3 linked regions of the Elephas maximus indicus genome follow. The protein of the gene in region 3 interacts with the protein of the main gene of each other region in a pairwise test. Links are inferred from orthologs where the notes say so. Each region holds a gene or a part of one and is shown on either strand. Other genes may lie near its edges.

Region 1 (7,006 bases), on a different chromosome or scaffold from region 3:
AAGTTATTACCTTTCTCCATTAGAATTACTTACAACAACTTAATTTTCAGGAAAAACATAACTATAATGAATAAAAAAAAATTTACCTCAGGTAAAATCTTTCCCCTGAATATACTATCCTAGTTCTGTTTTTCACTACCATGGAGCATTAGACATTCACACACTTTTGGCTCTTAGATCAGTATAAAAGGTTGTGTTTGATTTAATCATCTGAAAGACACTGTGATGAGGAGCTGCTTAGGAACTTAGAAAGTCCAGTAAATCTATACTCAGAAGAATTTGATTTGAGCCCTTGCTGAGTCCCTTCTGAGACATGTGAACCAACGCAAGGCACATCACCTCTCACAACTTCAATTTTCTCTTCTGTAAAGATAATAATGCATGCTTTTTTTTTTATTAAATAAGTCCATTGTAAGCATCCAATGGGATACCTAAGAACATGTAATAAAAATATATTGTTACATATTCAAGTAGTTATTTCTATTACAAAGTTACCAACATTCATCTTTATAGAAGGAATAGGTACTTTACCTTTATGACTTATTCTGCTTACATGACTAAATGTTTAATTCTACTGGGTACTTATAACCCTCCAAATACAGGTTAAAAAAAATCAAACTATGCAAAAGTTACTTAGGAAATAAAATAAATACATGCTGCATTATTTTTCAAAAAACATTCAACCCAGATGATAAATCTAAAGCCTTTCCATCAAAATTAGAAGGAAAAAACCATGTCTACAAAAAATAAGGCCATTTTCATGAACAAGCTTAGTTTCTTGTATTAGACTTCAGATTCTGGCCAATATAAATATCAAAGTATTGGCAAAATCTTTAAAATACAGTGTAAGTGAGTGATCTCAGAAGTGCACTTTTTAAGTATTAAAAGCATTTAAAAATCTATATTCAGTGTAAGAGTTAAACATCCTCTTATAGAATGGATGACATCTGAAGCAACTTGTATGGTCCAGAAGGCTCTGGTCATTTAACATCTAAGCATTTTTCACCCAGATACACCACTTTTAACTTTAACAATCATTTTCAGTATTAAAAACTGCATTGCATGATGTAATTCCTGAAAAAACTAGGAAGGGGCATACTAATAGTTTGCTTTAATATTTGCCCTTTCATCACCCCCTACCCAAAGTCAATTGGATATATAAACTATGTCATCCTCATCTGAAAACTGATGCCTTATTCACTAAATTACTGAAGGTTTCAAGACCTAGTTATATAAAAAAAAAAAAATAGATACTATTTATTTTGTTGTGAAAGAAAGAAAATAATAAATTTGGTTGGTTTAATTAGCTCAGTGGTTAAATTTAGCTTGAAGAATTTATGTCAGGAAAACCAAGTCCCTTATTCTTAGCACATAACCTTGACTGTCTTCTAAATCCCTCAGATTTCAAAATAAAAGTTTTGAATGCCCACTGGAGTCATTGCCCAAGGGCTTTCAAGACCCAGTGTGTTCCTTAGCAATATGTACCTGTACCTATTCAGACATGACAGAGCTACAAAAGGTTTTTTTGTTTTTGTCACTGAACCACTTTAATCAAACAGATCCATAGAATTTACACTGTACTAGAGGCAAAGATGCCATTATTCTCTACAGTTAGTTTCTTCTGCAAAGATTTAGTCTGAAGGACCACGTAAGCTCTACCTCACTTAACCCACAAGGAGTAATTCAGCAACAGAAGTCCTAGCCATTGTGTAATTTCATTACGGGAATATTCCTCTTTGAAATCCCCGGTCCTCAAGAAACATTATCATCAGCTCTAATGGAAGCATTTTGCACTTTCTTTACCCCAATCCATTTACATATGGCTTAAGAATCAACTCACCCCACACAGCTGGACAGCTATCTCTCAGCCACACCCCCCACCACCACCCTGAAGAAGTTGACTTCAAAATTTCCACACTAAAATTCTTCATCCTGCCCAACAGGAGAGAACCAAGTAGGGAGGAGGCAGAGAAATAGAAGGGATGGGGGTGGAAAGCAAAAGGTACCTAACAGTAATTGGCAAAGAGGAATTTGCATCTCATCTTCCCTGGGGGCGGGGTGGGGACGGAGGGTGTTAAAAAAAAAAATTAAGAGGAAGAGAAACCGTGTAACTCAAAGAGTTTCTGTACCTAATATCTGTAATTTCGGGTCCTGTTTCTTCAAATTGATCAATGACAACCGCAGTCTCGGGGTTGACGAGAGGGTAGGCTCAGACCCGACACTCCAGGACCATTTCCCTAGCAACGGGAGCAGAAAGGCAGCTTAGAGACACGCGTGCCCCGGCGCCCTCCTGGAACGTGCCCCGGCTCGGTGGCTTGGTGGCAGCAACTCGGCATCTTCCAGCGGCTCCGTCAGCAGCCAAAAGGAGAAGCGTCCATCGGAAAAATGGCATATTACAAATTTTGCTTTGGGAAGCAGAGCTCGGTTCAGACCATTCTCAAAGGGAGGAGGGGGGAGGCGGCTCTTAAAGCAGCAGCGGCCCCTTTGCCGGATCAGCCGCAGCTCCCCGCGTACAGCTGGAGACCCGGGGCGGAAAGCCGGGAACGCGGGGACTCAGGTTCACTTTCAGGAACTTAACCAAGCGGCCCTGCCCCCTCTTTGCGTCCGGGCCACCCAAGGGTGTCCCTTGAAACGTGAGCAAAAGGCGTGAGAGTATCTGGAAGGGAAGTTCTCCACCCAGTCCTCCACCCCGAGACCCTCTGGAGTTTACGGCTAACGTCACGAGCTGGAACGCTAAAGGGAAGCCAGCCTCCAGGGATAAGAGAATCAGAACAGTTCCCCTTCTGGCCCCCAGCCCATTTCCGAGCTAGAGTGTCTCATTGCACTTAAAGGAGGTGCTTATTCTCCGGAAAGGCAAGCAGCCAGCCCCGCACACCCAGTTTTCCCTCCCAGCCTCTTTGCAAGCTGCTTTCGCTTGTTTCAGTTGGCGGAGAGAACCAACCTGCTGGGAGCCGGCGAGGATGCTACAGCATCTTCTCTCCTCACTTCCCTCGGGTTGCTGCTGCTACTCCTTCTCCTCCGCCCCCTCCCTGCTCGGCAGCCGCACCTCCTCTTCCTCTGGAACAAGGGCTTCCCCTGGAAGCTGCTGCAGTGGTTTCCACCGGCCCTTAAATAAATTCTGAAGTAATCACGTCTTTGCTCTCCTCCTCACGCACACGCGCTCGCGGGTACACACGACTCCCGCGAAGCCGCTCCTGAGCTGCTGGAGCTCACGTTGGTCCCAGTGCCCCCGGTGAAGGCTCGGGCAGAAGTAGAAAGTGGATGCGCTCTCCTCAGCCTGGGCTTCCCACACACAATGATCTCTGCAGGAAAGAGTGTGTCAGTTCTCGCTGGTGGGAATGCGAATGGGCTTAGGCACCCCCTGGCTCTCTGGCCTTCCATGCTTGTCATTGCTTTAAGCAGCTTCCGTCTCCCGGGACCCGGGCATAGTAATTTTGATTGTAGGGACCTCAGTTAATCTAGGGTGTGGCGGCATCTGTTATTTCTGATTACCCCTCCGGATCTTCACTCATTACTTTGGCGATGAGGATTGTATGATTGGAATAACCCCTCTCTGCCCCAGTGAATTCGTCTTGGAAGTCTGGTCTCTTGATCGCGTTTCAATTCTCCCTATACCTACACATCCCTTTACCTACTCATCTTTCTTTCTGGCCCTGTTGTCCATTCACACAGACCCATTAGGGCTGGAGAGAAAGCAGGAGACAAAACCAATACCTATACTAAGCAGAAAAGAAACCTTCCAATGTGGGAGACTCAGCTATTCTGTTTTTAGTAAAAATGAAAAAGACAAGGGTGAGAGAATTTAGAGAATGTTTAAACATTGGGTATAATGTGTGAGCAAGTGTGAGTATACTTAAAAATTCAAGAGGTTTATTTTACTTTTATGTAAGCAAAGAGTCTGAAGCTATCTAAATAACAGTACTCATATGCCAGCATACTTGAATAAAGTACACTGTGCAAGAAATAACCTTTCTTTCTGGGGTAGCATTTAATTTAGTGACATCATAGTGGCATCATGAGGTCAAATTTCTAATCCCTTCTCACCTAGACTGTCATTCAAATCCTGCATCGCAAGGTAATCCTATAAATTTGAGATAAGTATAGGAATAATATCATAATTAATTACATGTCAACTGCAGCACTGCTTTCCAAATATGATGTGCATATGAGCCACCAATGGATCTTGTTAAAAGGTAGATTCTGATCAGTAGGACTGGGTGGACCCTGAAAGGCTACATTTCTAACTCCTAGGGACCACAATTTGAGTAGCAAGGATCTAGTCCACCCAATCAACTTACCATTTGATGGGGCTTAAATAACTTTAACCACAGGAAACTCATTATCTCATCAGGCAGCCAAGGCCACTTTCAGACATACCTAATATTGTAACAGCTTCTTCATATTAATCATATTATCAGTACCTATTATGGACTGAATTATGTTCTCCCAAAATATGTGTTGTAAATCCTAACCTCTATGTCTGCTGTAATAATGTCATTTGGGAATGGGTTCTTTGTTATGTTAATGAAACAGGATTAGTGTAAGGTGTATCTTGAGTTAAAGTCTTTTGAGATATAAAAGAGATGAAACAAGCAAGTAGAGGAGACATGGGGTAAGATAGATACCAAGACTCATGGAGATCTCCAAGGAAATAGGAAGCAGAGGCTGAAGAGACAAAGATCTTCCCAGAGAACCAACAAAAAGAGAAAGCATTCACCTAGAGCCAGAATTTGGACTTCTGTCGTTGTTGTTAAGTGCCGTCCAGTCAGTTCTGACTTGTAGCGACCCTATGTACAACAGAACAAAATACTGCCCTGTCCTGAGCCATCCTCACAACAGTTGTTATGCTTAAGCCCATTGTTGCAGCCACTGAGTCAATTCATCTCATTGAGGGTCTTCCTCTTTTTCACTGATGCTATACTTTACAAAGCAAGATGTCCTTAATCAGGGGCTGATCCCTCCTGACAACATGTCCAAAGTACGTGAGATGTAGTCTTGCCATCCTTGCTTCTAAGGAGCATTCTGGTCATACATCTTCCAAGACAGATTTGTTCCTTCTTTTGGCAGTCCATGGAATATTCAATATTCTTTTCCAACACCACAATTCAAAGGGGTCAATTCTTCTTTGGTCTTCTGTATTCATTGCCCAGCTTTCACATGCATAGGAACTGATTTAAAACACCATGGCTTGGATCAGGCACACCTTAGTCTTCAAAGTGACATCTTTGCTTTTCAACATTTTAAAGAGGCCTTTTGCAGTAGATTTGCCCAATGCAATATTTCTTGACTCCTGCTTCCATGGATGTTGATTATGGATCCAAGTAAAATGAAATCCTTGACAACTTCGTCTTTTCTCCATTTTTCATGATGTTGCTCATTGATCCAGTTGTGAGAATTTTTGTTTTCTTTATGTTGAGGTGCAATCCATACTGAAGGCTGTGGTCTTTGATGTTCATCAGTAAGTGCTTCAAGTCCTCTTCACTTTCAGCAAGCAAGGTTGTGTCATCTGCATAACGCAGGTTGTTAATGAGTCTTCCTCCAATCTTGATGCCCTGTTCTTCATAAAATTTAGCTTCTTGGATTATTTGCTGGATACAGATTGAATAGGTATGGTGAAAGAATTCAATCCTGATGTATGCCTTTCCTGACTTTAAACCGCCCAGTATCCCCTTGCTCTGTTCAAAAGATTGCCTCTTCATCGATGTACAGGTTCCTCATGAGCACAATTAAGTGTTCTGGAATTTCCATTCCTCACAATGTTATCTGTAATTTGTTATTATCCACACAGCTGAATGCCTTTGCATAATCAATAAAACACAGGTAACCATGTTTCCAGTATTACCTGCTTTCAGCCAAGATCCACCTGACATCAGCAATGATATCCCTGGTTCCACATTCTCTTTAGAATCCAGCTTGCATTTCTGGTGGTTCCCTGTTGATGTACTGCTGTAGCTGCTTTTGAATGATCTTCAGCAAAATTTTCCTTGCCTGTGATATTAATAATATTGTTCGATAATTTCTGCATTCGGTTGGATCACCTTTCTTGGGAATAGGCATAAGTATAGATCTCTTCCAGTCAGTTGGCCAGCTGGCTGTCTTCCAGATTTCTTGGCATATATGGGTGAGCACTTCCAGGGCTGCATCCATTTGCTGAAACATCTCAGTTTGTATACTGTCAATTCCTGGAGACTTTTTTTTGTTGTTGTTGTTTCTTGCTAATGCCTTGAATGCCGCTTGGACTTCTTCCTTCAGTACCATTGGTTCCTGCTCATATGATACCTCCTGAAATGGTTGCACGTCAACCAATTCTTTTTGTTTTATAGTGGTTCTGTGTATTCCTTCCATCTTCTTTTGATGCTTCCTGAGTCATTTTATATTTTGCCCATAGAATCCTTTGATATTGCAACTTGAGGCTTGAATTTTTTCTTCAGTTCTTTCAGCTTGAGAAATGCAGTGTTCTTCCCTTTTGATTTTCCATCTCCAGATCTTTGCACATGTCATTATAATAGTTGACTTTGTCTTCTCGAGCTACCCTTTGAAATCTTCTGTTCAGCTCTTCTACTTTATCATGTCTTCCCTTCACTTTAGCTACTTGAAGTTCAAGAGCAAGTTTCAGAGTCTTTTCTGACATCCATCTTGGTCTTTTTTTTCTTTCCTGTCTTTTTAATGAGCCCTTGCTTTCTTTGCGTATGATGTCCTTCATGTCATTCCACAACTCGTCTGGTCCTTGGTCATTAGTGTTCAACATGTTTAATCTATTCTTGAGATGGTCTCTAAATTCAGTTGGGATATACTCAAGGTCATACTTTGGCTTTCGTGTACTTGTTCTAATTTTCTTCAGTTTCAACTTGAACTTGCATTATGAGCAATTGATGGTCTGTTCCACAGTTGGCCCCTGGCCTTGTTCTGACTGATGATATTGAGCTTGTCCATTGTCTCTTCCCACAGATGTAGTCGATTTGATTTCTGTGTATTCCATCTAGTGAGGTCCATGTGTATAGTTGCT
Region 2 (7,074 bases), on a different chromosome or scaffold from region 3:
CTTTGTTTGAGGAAAAATCAGAGAAAAGAATGATGAAAAATGAAGAAGCCCTGAGAATGATGTGGGATACAATCAAAAGCAAAAATTTACGTGGGATTGGAGTTCAAGAACAGGGAGGAAAACAGTAAACACAGACAGACATTGAAGATTTGCTAACAGAAAATTTCCCTAATATCATGAAAGATGAAAAGCTACCATCCAAGTAGCTCAACAAACCCCATATAGGATAGACCTCAAAAGAAAATCACCAAGACATAATCACATTCTCTAAAACCAAAGACAAAGAATCCTGAGAATAGTTCAAGAAAAAGGAAAAGTCACGTACAAAGGGGAAACAATAAGATTAAGCTCTAATTACACAACAGAAACCATTCGGGCAAGAAAGCAATATGATGACATGTATAAAACCTTGAAAAAAAAAAGTTTCCAACCAAGAATAATATGGCCTGCAGAACTCTTGTTCAAGTACCATGGTGAAATTAGGACATTTCCAGATAAACAGAAATTAAGGTAATACATAAAAACCAAACCAAACTTACAAGAATTATTAAAGGGAGTCCTTTGGTTAGAGAACCAGCAACATCAGACAACTACCTGAATCTAGGATGCAAGACACCATCAGCCAAATACCAACTTAGGTAAAGAGCTCTCAAGGGTAAAACAAAACTAAGAGATTTACAACAGGGAACCAGAGAGGTCAATCTGTAAATAAAAACAACATCAGAAGAATAAAAGAGAGAATAAACTTTCAAATGGAGGTATAAAATTTTTAAATGAAGAGGAAGTCAAGGTGATATCAAGTAATAAAGGACTTAGGGAAGATAAAGGGTAAATTTAAAGGTAACCACAAAGAAAGTTAACAAACCTACTCGTCAAAATAAAGAAGAAAAACAAAGTCTCAGTATACACAAAATCTACAAAAATTAAAGAAAAAAAAATTCACAAACAAAAGGAATTCAGCACAGAAGAGTAAGGGGAACAAAGAAAATGTCACCCTGCTTAAAAGCCACTGGGTAATAGAAGAAATCAAAGACGGAATCAAAAAATTCCTAGAATCAAATGAGGATGAAAACACATCATACCAAAACCTTTGGGACACAGCAAAGGCAGGTTTGTTTCTTTTGGAACTTAATGTAAATGAAAACATAGCACGTTAAAATGTATGAGATCTAGCTAATGCAGTGGCTTTAAATGCTTATATTAAAAAAGAAGGTTCTAAAATCAACAAACTAAGTTTCCATTTTAAGAAACTACAGAAAGAAGAGCAAATTAAATCTAAGGTAGAAAGAAGGAAGGAAAAATAAGTGACATAGAAAATGGACAAGCATTAGGGAAGATAAATGAAACCAAAAACTGTTTTTTTTAAAACATAATAAAATTCTAGCCAGTCTATCAGGAAAATAAAAAGACAACACACAAATTATCAACATCAGGCATAAAAAAGGAGAACTACCACAGACAATAGAGAGAGAATAATGAGAGAAGATCAGAGATAGAAAAAAATGATATTATTAAAAAAAAACTTTATTCCACTGTTTTGGACAAAACTACTCTTTCTCTTAAAAAACAGAAGCATGTACACAGTTATATTTCTCTGAAATTATTGCTTCTAAGTGTCATCTCAATCATTTATAATATATCTTTTAACCAAAGTAATATAAAAACATATTTCATAGACAAAAATGGAGGGTAGATAATTTGAACTGTCATATTCCATCATTTTATCAGACTAAGAGAGCTCATGAGTATATACAGCTTTCTACAGTCACTAATATCTCTTACATAAGTTAAACTGATGCTTGGTAATTAATATTAAAATTAACAATTTCTACCTTACTTAGAAAAGATCTAGATATCTAATGATTATCCATTAATTAACCCAATTTAATACCACTCCAAGGTTTTAAGTTACCTAAAAATCTTGGAAAATTTATTGTCAAGCTGACCTACTACAGAACATGATTACTACTGAAATAAAGTTCATTAGAATAAGGATTCAGTTTGGTCAAACACAAATTTATACTTTTCATAATCAAATATTAAGTAGAAGCAATGCCAGCCTATCAGTGAACCTGTATAAGTTCAGGAAAACTCTACCCAAGTGTAATAAAAATGAGTGTGTGTGAGTTAAACACTGATAAATCAGAGAAGACATGGCTGTTTTTATTAAACAGAAAGTATTAAACAAGTCTAGTCTGCCAAAGATTTACCTATATTATTTGAATTTGAATTTTTAAAATGTACCTGAGCTGATTTGTTTAAGAATATTTTTTTAATCCAGCATATTTAAAGTTTTAGAAATTCCATTTCCTTAGTTCCTGGGAATTACAGGAATATTATATTTATATAAGCACTTATTTATCTCATAAGCTGTTCAGAAGAGGGCACCTTTAATTTAGGAGATTTTATCATCTACTTTATAAATACCATCCAGATTTAAGAAAACATTATACACTCATACCATGAATGGTGAAGACCTTTCGGAATTACATACATATTTCTGTATAGATAAGAACTCACACCTTCAATTCCAAATTTCAGGCATGGGTCAAGAGTAAATACAGAAGCACAAAAAGGCATCAGATGTCAAAAAGGTGTTCTCTCAGTGGGCACAACATTCTTAACTGATTTGTACCCAAAACTGACAAATTTAGGCAAAAAATAAGACTAACAAACTAATTTCTTTGTTGTTTCTCTGCCAACAAGAGACTAGATTTCTATAAAACACTAGTCCATTTACAGAGATCACCAAACAGACCATAAAACCAAATTCCCAGTCACTGCCACCAGGAGTGAGGAACAACTTAACAGCTGAAAACAGAACAAAGACAAACCACAAAATTAGGAGAGAAGAAAATTAAATTATAAAAACAATCAGCAAAGTTCTAGTGTCACTAAGGGAGCCAAAAGAAGATGCTCCTGGGCTTTAAGCTGCTCAGGAGGTGCACTTCTCTGGTGAAAGGTATACCTGGTTCTGATATGTGAATCCATCGGGCATCTCAGCCGAAGACCTCCAAATTGCTAAAAGACAATGTAAAAAAAAAAAATATATATATATATACATAAAATCATGTCTCACATACAGACATAAAATGAACAGGTTAAAGATTTTATTTAACGTATTAATCAATGAAGGAACAATGCAGATGCTACAACCAGTTCAAAGGAGAAATCAAAAACGCACAAATTTATATGGAGTAACGGCATTTTGAAATGCATGCGCAAATGGAGGCAAAACCAGCTTCTTCCAGAGTGGTACAGAGAAGTCAATTGAACCTGTATTGGGCAGGACAGAATTTACCTGTCTATAGAAAAGAATCATTTTGCACTGTTACCAGTTATCTACAATGTACAGACTTGTAAAATAGCTTCCACAGAATTGGAATCAGATAACCCTGAAGGGTATCTCTAGAGTCTAGACAATGCAGTTACTGCATCAAGCAGAAGTGTTTTCCATACAAAGGACACTGCTGCTCTGAGACGGGGGGGGGGGGGGGGGGCAGATGAGGATGAGGATGAGCATGAGCATGAATACAGGTAAGTTTGTAGGGAAGGACAAGAAATTAAGGAAGTTGATCTGTGAGAGCCTCATTTTTTTTTTCTTTCAGTGAAGCAGAACAGGAGGTTATCTGCTACAAGTTAAGGGAACTGGTTGCTGTGAAAGGGCTCAGGCACAAAAACATCTGACACTAGGCTTACCACAGCAACTTTCTCATTTCATTAAAAGTAGCTTTTAAAACCATGGCTTCAAACCGGTTTGAACCAGTTCAGTCATGGCCAGAGCAAAACCAGAACAGATCCAAATTTTTACAGCTTGTGTGATCTGGAAAATTACAGGTTGAAGCCCTGGAATTAAAGACTCAGAAGAGGTGTAGTGAGCCCTTTCAGGAGCCTGATGTGTGAGACTGGATTATTGGCAGGACCGTGGAGTCCAACACACACATTCCCAGGCCTGGTGGGCGCCATCTTTGAGCAGGGCACTGCTGCTTCCTGCTCTTCTCAAAATGGAACAGACAAGAGATTTCGTTGGCTGCCTTTGTTTTCTAAGGGGGAGACTAAGTTTCTAGCAAGGCTTCTACTCACAATTTTTTTCAAATTCTGGTTATCGTTCCAGTTCACCCAAGTCTTAAAAATTTGGGTCTGTTTTGGTTTCGCTTCTTCACCCATGACTAAACTGGGAAGAACCAGTTCAAAGCCCTAATTAAAACTCAGACAGACGTCCATCTGGGAGCCATGCCATATCTTCTTTTGAATGCTTTGGCACAGGCCTCTCGGGAGATTGTGCAGTTGAGTCTGGCATTATCACTATGCAAATTTGGGAAACACTGGTCTATTTTAGTTTATGCTAGCACAGCCCTGAAGGAATAAAACTCGAACTGGTGAGTTCTGAAAAACCCTTGGAGTTCTTTCTAGATGGGATATTTAGGAGGGGTCCTGGGGAATCCCTGGGTACAACATGAGGGAAGTGAGTATGGCAAAAAAAGAAGACAGTAGCAAATGAACCAGCACTCATCTCTGGGTTTGTCCTGTTGTGCTGCCTTGTGTGTTGCTGTGATGCTGGAAGCTATGCCACCAGTATTTCAAATATCAGCAGGGTCACCTATGGTGGACAGGTTTCAGCCGAGCTTCCAGACTAAAACAGTCTAGAAGAAGGACCTGGTGATCTACTTCTAAAAATATGTGGCCAGTGAAAACTTTATGAATAGCAGCTGAACATTGTCTGATACAGTGCCAGAAGATGAGCCCCTCAGGTTGGAAGGCACTCAAAATACGACTGAGAAAGAGCTGCCTGCTCAAAGTAGAGCCGACCTTAATGACGTGAATGGAGTCAAGCTTTCAGGACCTTCATTTGCTGATGTGGCATGTGTCAAAATTAGAAGAAACAGCTGCAAACATCCATTAATAATCAAAACATAGAATGTCCGAAGTATGAATCTAGGATAATTGGAAGTCATCAAAAATGAGATGGAATGGTTGCAGATTGTTATCCCAGGCATTGGTGAGGTAAATATACTGGTAGTGGCCATTGTGAATCAGACAATCATATGGTCTACTATGCCAGAAATGACAAATTGAAGAGGAATGGCATTGCATTTATTGTCAAAAAGAACATTCAAGGTCTATCCTGAAGTATAGTGCTGTCAGTGATAGAATAATATCCATATACCTATTACAAAGGCCAGTATTAATATGACTATTATTCAAATTTACGCACAGCCACTAATCCAAAGGTGAGGAAACTGGAGATTTTTACCAAGTTCTGCAGCCTGAAATTGATCAAACATGCAATCAAGATGTACTGATAGTTACCGATGATTGGAAGGCAAAAGCAGGAAACAAAGAAGGAGGATTGGTAACTGGAAACTATGGTCTTGGTGACAGAAACACCACCAGATGGAATGCACAGGAATCATATCAACTACATCTGTGGAAAGAGACCATGGAGGAGCTCAGTAGCATCAGTCAGAAAAAGGCCGGGGACCAACTGCAGAACACGCTGTCAACTGCTCATAACCAAAAAAACCAAAAACCAAACCCAGTGCAGTCGAGTCGGTTCCGCCTCATAGCGACCCTATAGGACAGAGTACAACTGCCCCATTGAGTTTCCCAGGAGCGCCTGGTGAATTTGAACTGCCAACCCTTTGGTTAGCAGCGGTAGCACTTAACCACTACACCACCAGGGTTTCCTCGATTGCTCATATGCAAGTTCAAATTGAAGCTGAAGAAAATTAAAACAAGTCCATGAAAGCCTAAATATAATCTTGAGTATACCCCACCTTAATTTAAAGACCATCTCAAAATAGATTTGACACATTGAACATCAATGTCAAAGACCAGATGAGTTGTGAGGTGCCATCAGGGACATCATACATGAAGAAAGCAAAAGTTTGTTAAAAAGACAGGAAATTAAGAAAAGACAAAAATGGATATTATAAGAGACTCTGAAACTTGCCCTTAAATGTACAGTAGCTAAAGTAAATGGAAGAAATGATGAAGTAAAAGCTGAACAGAAGATTTCAAAGGGCAGCTTGAACAAGGGGATACTGTGTGATTTAAAATCAGGAAGGATGTGTGTTAGGTTGTATCCCTTCACTATACTTATTCAATCTCTATGCTGAACAAATAATTCGAGAAAGTGGACTATATGAAGAACGGGGCGAAAACAAACAGGACTTGAAACACACACTCATGAAGATCAAAGACTACCAACACCCTTCAGTATGGATTACACCTCAATATAAAGAAAATAAAATCCTCACAACTGGACCAATAAGCAACATCATGATAAACAGAAAATAGTTAAGTTTTGAAGGATTTCATTTTACTTGGATTCACAGTCAACACCCATGGTAGCAGCAGTCAAGAAATCAAACAACATATTATATTGGGCAAATCTGCTGCAAAAGACCTCTCTAAAGTGTTAAAAGCAAAGATGTCACTTTGAGAACTAAAGTGTGCCTGACTCAAGCCATGGTATTTTCAGGTGCCTCAATGCATGCAAAAGCTGGACAATGAATAAAGAACACTGGTGAAGAATTGATGCCTTTGAATTATGGTGTTAGTAAAGCATTTTGAATATACCATGGACTGCCAGAAGAACGGGAGCCCTGGTGGCGCAGTGGTTAAGAGCTCAGGCTACTAACCAACCAGGCGACAGTTTGAATCACCAGGTGCTCCTTGGAAGCTGTACGGGGCAGTTCTACTCTGTCCTGTAGGGTCACTATGAGTAGGAATCGACAGCAATGGGTCTTGGCCAGAACAAACAAATCTGTCTTGGAAGAAGAACAGCCACAATGCTCCTTATAAGTGAGGATGGTGAGATTTCGTCTTAGGTACTTTGGACATGCTATCGGGAGGTACCAGTCCCTGGAGAAGGATATCTCATGCTTGGTGAAGTAGAGGGTCAGCGAAAAATAGGAAGATCCTCAACGAGATGGACTGACACAGCGCTGCAAGAATGGGTTCAAACACAGCAGTGCTTGTGAGGATGGTGCAGGACCAGGCAGTGTTTCATTCTGTTGTACACAGGGAGTAGGAACCGACTTGACAGCACCTAACAACAGCAGTGGAAGG
Region 3 (7,599 bases):
CATTTTCCCTCATCATAATTAAGGTCGTTTTGTTTTCTATTCATTAACTGGTACATACCATCTGGCTTTGCACTGTTTTGCTGATTTTCTATGCAGCAGCGAGGCAATTCTAGACCACTGGTTTTTCCCATATTTCATTACTGCTGCTTTCAGAATTTCATCCTAAAAGAATTGTCAAAGAAATATAATACATTCAATCACTAAAGTCCAAATGAGAAAAGACAAAATTTAAATTAACTGTCAGGGCTGCTGAAAAATTTCAAGGAAAAGGATACATACATGCACACCTACAAATCCTAGGTTTAAAAAAAAGAGGTCCTAACATCTTATTTACTATAATGATAAACAGCAAGCCAGAATCTGCAAAATCCAAGAAATTAAGAAGGTCATCAGAAGAACATCCCACCTTCCCTCACATGCACATTCTCCCATCCCCATAAACTGGGAGTGGGAACAGTCCAATCCAAAAAACCATACTTGGTAGGTTAAAAGTATCTTCCAATGTGTAACCATTATTCTCTTCAAAAGGGTATAGCTCATTCATGTATTCGTTAGCTCAAAAAACATTTCCTGAACACTTAACCTTGTACTAGGTCCTATATACATGGGGAAAAAGAATTAAATAGACCTCCCAGCGCTCAAGAAGCAAATCAAGACTCGAGTGAATCCATTCTTCAGTCCAGGCCTCCTGACTCCTGCTAATCCATGACATTTACTCTCCAGTCCTTAACTCTCACCATGACTCAAGAATCCATGTCCCAGATCTAACCTAAGAAGTACATATTTCTCCCCTACCCCACCAGTAAGCTCTCTCTCCAACCTCCCCCAGTCTCTTAGATACTATTTCCACAGGGTCCCTATGCTGAGCCACCTGGCAAGCTGAGCCAGAGAATCCAGGGACAATGCAGTCATGAATGAATGCATTTGGGTCATTTTACTTTTAGGACTTTTTCCACATTCAACCTGAGCTACATGCCTTCTGCTTGAGCCACCGCACTGTGCCCCCTCTTCATCATCAGACATAAAAAAGACTGCAGGGCTTTGAGCACTGTATAGGAAGCCTGTTGTTACTTGATTTTGTACGTATGTCTCTCCTCCAGAAGTCATCTCTTCTCCACTTTAAATAGCCTGGTTCCCTCAGTGCAAGCTGTCAGGCAGGCTTTTCACTGACTTCATTTGGAACTTTGTTACAGTACTGCTGTACTTAAACACATCTTCAACTAACTATATATATAGCAGTTATGTACCACACAAGGGGTTGCCATGCCTCTGAATCAACTCCACGGCAACCGCTTTTACCCCCCTAGTTTCGCTCACCAAACATTTGCCAAGCTACCTACTTCATGTTGGTTATTGGCCTAGATCCAAGGAACACTAAGACCTAGTCCTTGTCCTCTTGCAGTGCTATCTGCCAGACTCTGTTCTAAATTTTCCAAATGTATTAACTTATTTAATCCTAAAGAGCTAGGTACTGTTGTTTGGTTTATCAAGTGGATTTTGAATTCATAGTAACCCCATAAGGTCGCTATGAGTCAGATTCGACTCGACAGCACTGGGTTTTGGGGTTTTTAGTGACCCCATGTGACAGAGCTGAACTGCACCATAGGGTTTTCTAGGCTATAATCTTTACAGGAGCAGATCACTAGGTGTTTCTCCTGAGGAGCCACTTGGTGGGTTCAAACCGCCGTTGAGCCCGAGCCCACTGCACCACCAGAGCTCCGTATATATTATTATCACTCCTATTTAAAGAAATGAGGAGAGTGGGACTCAGAGGTTAAGAAACTCTCCCAGCAGCACAAAGAAATGACATGATCCTTAAAAAACGACAAAGCAAGCTAACAAATTAATTAAAGAAGTACAGTGAGACCACTGAGGATGCAATTAATTCTGGTAAGTGGGCAAAGACTACAACAAGTTTCTGGGTTGAGGTCTGAATGCTCAAGGTGCCAAGCAGTAGGAGGACATTTGAAGCAGAGGGTACAGAATGTAAAATGTGCTCCGAAAAGAGATAAACTCAGAGCGCTCTGAATACAAATTGCACTAAAGTATTATTTCTGTTTCACTCCTCTACTGTCCTTTGGCTCGCCAATGGCATAATCCACTACAGTTCTGGAAGCAGAAACTGCTACACACAGTCTGTCCTATCTATTATCCAGGCTGAGTCGGAGTGCCAGGAAGATAGGACGAGATGGATCTTGGCATCTGTCGGGAGAAGAGGCAGGTTATGCCTTGATAACAGATAACCAGAAGGATACGGGTATAAACGGGATCCTTGAACCTGCCACTCAAGCTGCTTCCTCTCTGCCAGGGAGTCAATAAAGAAACAAAGTTGTGGCCACAACACTTCTTTATTTTCCTCTTTTTGAGCACTGGAGAGAGGCGCGGGTGCCCAGGCCGAGAAGGAGGTGCTCCGAAAAACCAACTCTCGCCGATGCCCCATTCTCCCCCTCCACACTGAGTTCCACCAGAGCGGGGAGCAGCCTCCAAATTCAGCAAATGTTCAGTGAGGACCTAACAAGTGCCTGGCAGTGAACTCGGGCTGGGTATTCAGTCGGGTTAATCACGGTCCCTGTCCTTCAGGAGCTCAAAAAGCAAGCGCTGGGGCACCCAGAGAAGACGCAGACCGCGCAGGGCATCTTCCTGACCGCCCCGACGCCCGCGCGCGTGCGCAAAAGCCGCCGGAGGGGGCGGAGGGCAGCGGACGGCGGGAAAAGGAGACTCACCTCAGTATTCCTCCACACGCCCCCCTTGATCATAATTCGAGGCATCTTGGTGGCGGGCTGTCTCGGCAAACGGCCGAGGTGAGCTTCAGAGAAGTACTAACGGCGCTGGGGCCACGGGACCTAAAGCCGCCACTTCCTCCAACCGCGACCTTCTGCTTTGAGGCGATCTGCGCAGTCGCAACCTGGGGGTGGGGAGGACAGGAATAGAAAGTCTCGCGAGATCTCGAGTGGCTGCAAGGAAAGCAGTGCATTGTTGAAACTCTAGCCTGGGGAAATCGTCAAACCTCTCTAGCCAAAGCGCTCTACGCCGCACGCGAGTTCAGGACCTGTTGGCGGAAACTGCGACTCTCGCGAGATAGTAGCGGTGTGGCGTTTGGCAGGAAACATAAGTGGTGAGGTTGGTTGTGACGTCACCGAGTGGCAGGAGATGGGGATGTCACGCGTGAAGAATTCAGCCCAGGTGGTCAGAAAAGAGCTTTGTTATTTTGTTAGTTTAGCGCTTTATCGGGCGTTTAATTAACAGGAATTTATTCAGAGAAGGCTCAGGCAATAGGCTATTTGTCTGTTTCCTAATCTATAAAATAGAGGTAATAATGGTACCAACCTCGTAGGGTTGTCCTAAGGTCTAAATGAGATCGTGTACATAAACCTAGCACAATATCTGGTGCATAAAAAAGAAACAAACCACAAACCATTGCTGTCAAGATGATGCCAACTCATGGAACCCCATATGTTATAGAGTGGAACTGCTCTGCAGGGTTTTCTAGGCTTTATGGCAGCAGATCGCCCGGCTGGGTGTGCAAAACACCAACCTTTAGGTTAGTAAAGAAAAAAAAAAAGCATTGCGGTGGAGTGGGTTCGGACTCAGTGAATAGTGGAACTGCTGTCTTTTTGAGGGGGGGGGGCGGTGTTTAGCAGCTGTAGCTCTTAACCACCAGACCGCCAGGGCTACAAACCATTTGTATCACCCAGGGACCTGTGATACATGTTCTTCTTAGGTGCCTTTGAGTCAGTTCTGACTCATAGCAACCCTGTGTACAACAGAAGGAAACACTGCCCAGTCCTGTGTCATCCTCACAATCGTCGCTGTTTGAGTCCATTGTTGCAGCCTTTGTGTCGATCCGTATGTAGGAGGTCTCCCTCTTTTTCAGTGTCTCTGTATTTTACCAAGCATGATTCCCTACTCCATGGACTGGTCCTTCCTGATAATATGTGCACTCATTAGCCAACCAGTGGGGTTTCCTTGGTCCTGAAGGAGATTGGCTACTGAAATGCTGAGAGTTGTTAGTCTGACCGTGTCACAGCCTCACTGTATATGGTTGGCTTATTTCTCACCTCTTTCTCCAGATGTTTGCCTCTTGCCTGACTAATGGGAGTCTCTCACCCTCCTTAGCTGTGCAGACAGATGATACTGAAGCTATACGACAATAGTATTAATACTTGATATAGAGCCAGCCTTCATGTTTTCCTGACTTGTACCAAGTGGGTATTAAACACCAAAAGGATATCAATAAAATGAGAATAGCTTTACCAAAAATAATGAAATCTCACATAAAATCTACATTTTACCATTGATTCGAGGGCATCCTTAGAAAACTGAATATTATTTAAAAAAAAAAAAAAACCCATTGCCTTCAAGTTGACTCCAACTCCTAGCCACCGGCTAGGAGAGAGTAGAACTGTCCCATGGGGTTTCCAAGGGGTGGCTGGTGGATTCCAACTGCCAACCTTTTGGTTACCAGCCAAGCTCTTAACCACTATGCCACCAGGGCTCCTGAATATTATAGGAGCCCAGATATTTTTTTGGTAATTGAATGCTTTCTAGAAACTCTGTATGAATTTTTATACAAGCACTGTTTTCTAAATCAGGTAAAATGTCATTAAGAATATAAAAAAATAAAATAAAAAGCTACATTTCTCAACCTTAAAGTTAAGTGTAATCAGTTAGATAGAAGGGAGAGCTTCTTAAAGGAATTGACAGATAGCTGGTGCTCACCCTTTTCTTTCTCCCTTTGCTTCTTCTGTATGCCTGAAGTGTATATGTAATGGTGAGAACACTAGGAGCTATTTTGGATTATGAGGTGACCTTGAGGATGGAAGCTAAGTGCTAAGATGAGGGAGCAAAAAGATGGAAAGAGATGGGTTCTGATAATCAACTGTGTAGCTGTCCCACCAGTCCTGAACTACTACCCTGTGGATTTCTGTTATCGGGGTTGTGTTACGGATTGAATTATGTTCCCCTAAAATGTGTTGTAAATCCTAACCTCTATGCCTGTGGGTATAATCCCATTTGGGAATGGGTTGTCTTTCTTACGTTAATGAGGCAGGATTTGTGTAGGGTGTATTTTGAGTCAGTCTCTTTTGAGATATGAGGGAGATTAAACAAGGGAACACAGGAGAAATGAAGATAGATGCCAAGACACATGGAGACCTCCAGGAACCAGGAAGCAGAAGCCAAAGAGACAAGGATCTTCCAGAACTGAGAGAGAGAGAAAGCCTTCCCTTAGAGCCAGCGTTCTGAATTTGGAACTTGCCTCCTAAACTGTGATAAAATTAATTTTTTTGTTAACACCACCCACTTGTGCTATTTCTGTTATAGCAGCACTAGATAACTAAGACAGGTGAGGAATCTCTGTCTTATTTGAACCATTTACATGAGTTTTCTGTTACTTGCAGCCAAACTGTTAGTAACTGATACACCCCTACGTTCACTAATTAATGCCTACTTATCTCTCAAATCTCAAATTGTCACTTTCAGGAAGAAACCTTCCCTGAGTAGGTCATATTCACCTTTCATTCTCATAACCTAGTATTTCTTCAAGTGCTTATTCAGAGCACTTACCACAACTGTAATTATTTGTCTAATTAATTGGTTAATATCTGTTTCCCACTGGAATTATCTACCACTCATTAGAGTTATACCTATATTGTTTACAAAAGCTAATAAAGTGCCTGGCACATATTAGGGCCTCAGTCGATACCTTATGTCTTCTACCCATCTACCAATTCACATATGGTACTGAACACATACTGAACCAAACCAAACCTGTTGCTGTCGAGTCGATTCTTAACTCATAGTGGCCCTCTGAGGGTTTCCCAGGAGCAGCTGGTGGATTCGAACTGCAGACCTTTCGGTTAGCAGGCAAGCTAGGGCTTCTGAACGCATACTAGGTACTAATAAACATCATGGTGATTGACAAATTGATTAACCAAAGAAAGCTTCATCCTCATCCAGCGTAAGCTTGGCCTGGATTCCTGTCACCATGATACCCTTAGCCTATCACTTCACTGCTTTCTCGTCCAGATGGTCTGTCTCCTCTGGGCTAAACTTTTGACCTGGTACCTATGTTTATAACCAGTAACGATGCTAAAAAAAAAAAAATTTAAATAAGAACAGTAGCCTCTGGGTGTGTTGGAAGCACCAACGTTTCAGCTACAAGCACTGAACTGTTTGCACCACACAGAGACTCCTTAACAATGCTTTACAGATGTGTTTTACTCTGACTTGGATGTGTGTGTTCTTCACTCCTTCTTAATGATTTTTCTGACTTTTAAAACCAGAAGGGGAACAAATATCTACCCATGCTCTCTGACTAGCAATTCTAGAACAAATAAGAAAACAACGTGATGCACTGAGGACAGTCATCATGTCTGTGATATTCCCGCTGAAAATGGATGACCTGGACCTAATCATGAGGAAACATCAGAGAGACAAACCCAAAGAAATTACCTGAATGCTTCAAAAATGTTAATTTCATGGAAAACAAAGAAAAGCTGAGGAACCGTTCCAGATTAAAGGAGACTAAAGACATGACAACTGGATGCAATACCATGATGGCTAGATTAAATACTGGATCAGTAAAAAAAAAAAAAAAAAACTGCCATATGGAAATGACTAGGACAATTGATAAAATTTGAATGAGCACTATGTATTAGATAATAGGATTGTATCAATATTAACCCGTTGCCATCAAGTCAATTCTGAACCACAGGGACTCTATGGGACAGGGTTGAACTGCCCCATAGGGTTTCCAAGGAGCAGCTGGTGGATTCAAACTGATGACCTTTGGTTAGCAACCAAGCTTTTAACCACTGTGCCATGTTAAATTCCCTGAACTTGGCGTTCGTATTACGGTTATGTTAGAGAATGTTCTTGACCTTAGGAGATGCTGCTGATGTATGGAGGTGTGAAGAATTATGATGTCTACCACTACTCTTAAATAGTATAGTCAAATGGTCAAAATAATAATATTAATAATATGAGAGAGAGAGCGTGCACAAATGTGGACTGATGTTAACAACTGCAGAATCTAGGTCAAGAATATATGGGTGTTCATTGTTCTATTCTTGCAACTTTTCGGTAAGTTTGAAAGTTTTCAAGATATAAAGTTAAAAAAAAGCTAAGTACGGTGATTGGCTTGTTGAAATCAAACATTTGATTGAGGACAGCAACACTGACAAAGATAATCAACTGGATGAGGCTCATCAGCGCTTGCTCTGTGGGCTGTCTCTGCTCAGGATTGTTTTGTAAAGTCCAAAGAACCTGTGGAGAGAGGAATGGAGTTAAAGGCTGTGTTCCATTGCAAGACTAACAGTTCTCAACCAACACAGTCAACCTGAGATGCAGAGCCATGATATCTGCCCAAAGCACTGCCTGTGGCAATAGACACCATCCACTCCCACTCCAGGAGAGCCTTTTGCCTTCTTTCCATTGATGGAAGCCTCTCAAAAGTCTGCTCTTTGGGTCTCGCCTCTAGTTTTTACGTTAGTTTTTGAATGCTCTTTAACCCACCAGGAGGGAGTAAACTTGATAGGAAGGGCACCGATGGTTGCCAATTGTCAAGCTCTTCAACTTCTCTTATCTCATTACTCAGCT

Evidence for each region. The genes of interacting proteins can lie anywhere in the genome.
Region 1: the proteins of CDC5L (region 3) and PPFIA2 interact in a two-hybrid assay, tested with the Homo sapiens proteins (2 studies listed by BioGRID and IntAct). The link is inferred for Elephas maximus indicus from reciprocal best matches to the Homo sapiens genes CDC5L and PPFIA2.
Region 2: the proteins of CDC5L (region 3) and AKAP6 interact in a two-hybrid assay, tested with the Homo sapiens proteins (2 studies listed by BioGRID and IntAct). The link is inferred for Elephas maximus indicus from reciprocal best matches to the Homo sapiens genes CDC5L and AKAP6.

What each region holds. Positions count from the first base shown.
Region 1 is NC_064822.1:144,442,134-144,449,139, forward strand, and holds the start of PPFIA2 (liprin-alpha-2), read right to left. Parts: upstream 3,017-7,006; 5' UTR 2,942-3,016; intron 2,238-2,941; 5' UTR 2,130-2,237; intron 1-2,129. UniProt on the Homo sapiens protein: Alters PTPRF cellular localization and induces PTPRF clustering. May regulate the disassembly of focal adhesions.
Region 2 is NC_064828.1:44,568,771-44,575,844, reverse strand, and holds the start of AKAP6 (A-kinase anchor protein 6), read right to left. Parts: upstream 3,017-7,074; 5' UTR 2,992-3,016; coding exon 2,969-2,991; intron 1-2,968. UniProt on the Homo sapiens protein: Binds to type II regulatory subunits of protein kinase A and anchors/targets them to the nuclear membrane or sarcoplasmic reticulum. May act as an adapter for assembling multiprotein complexes.
Region 3 is NC_064819.1:108,943,175-108,950,773, reverse strand, and holds the start of CDC5L (cell division cycle 5-like protein), read right to left. Parts: upstream 3,007-7,599; 5' UTR 2,769-3,006; coding exon 2,724-2,768; intron 163-2,723; coding exon 59-162; intron 1-58.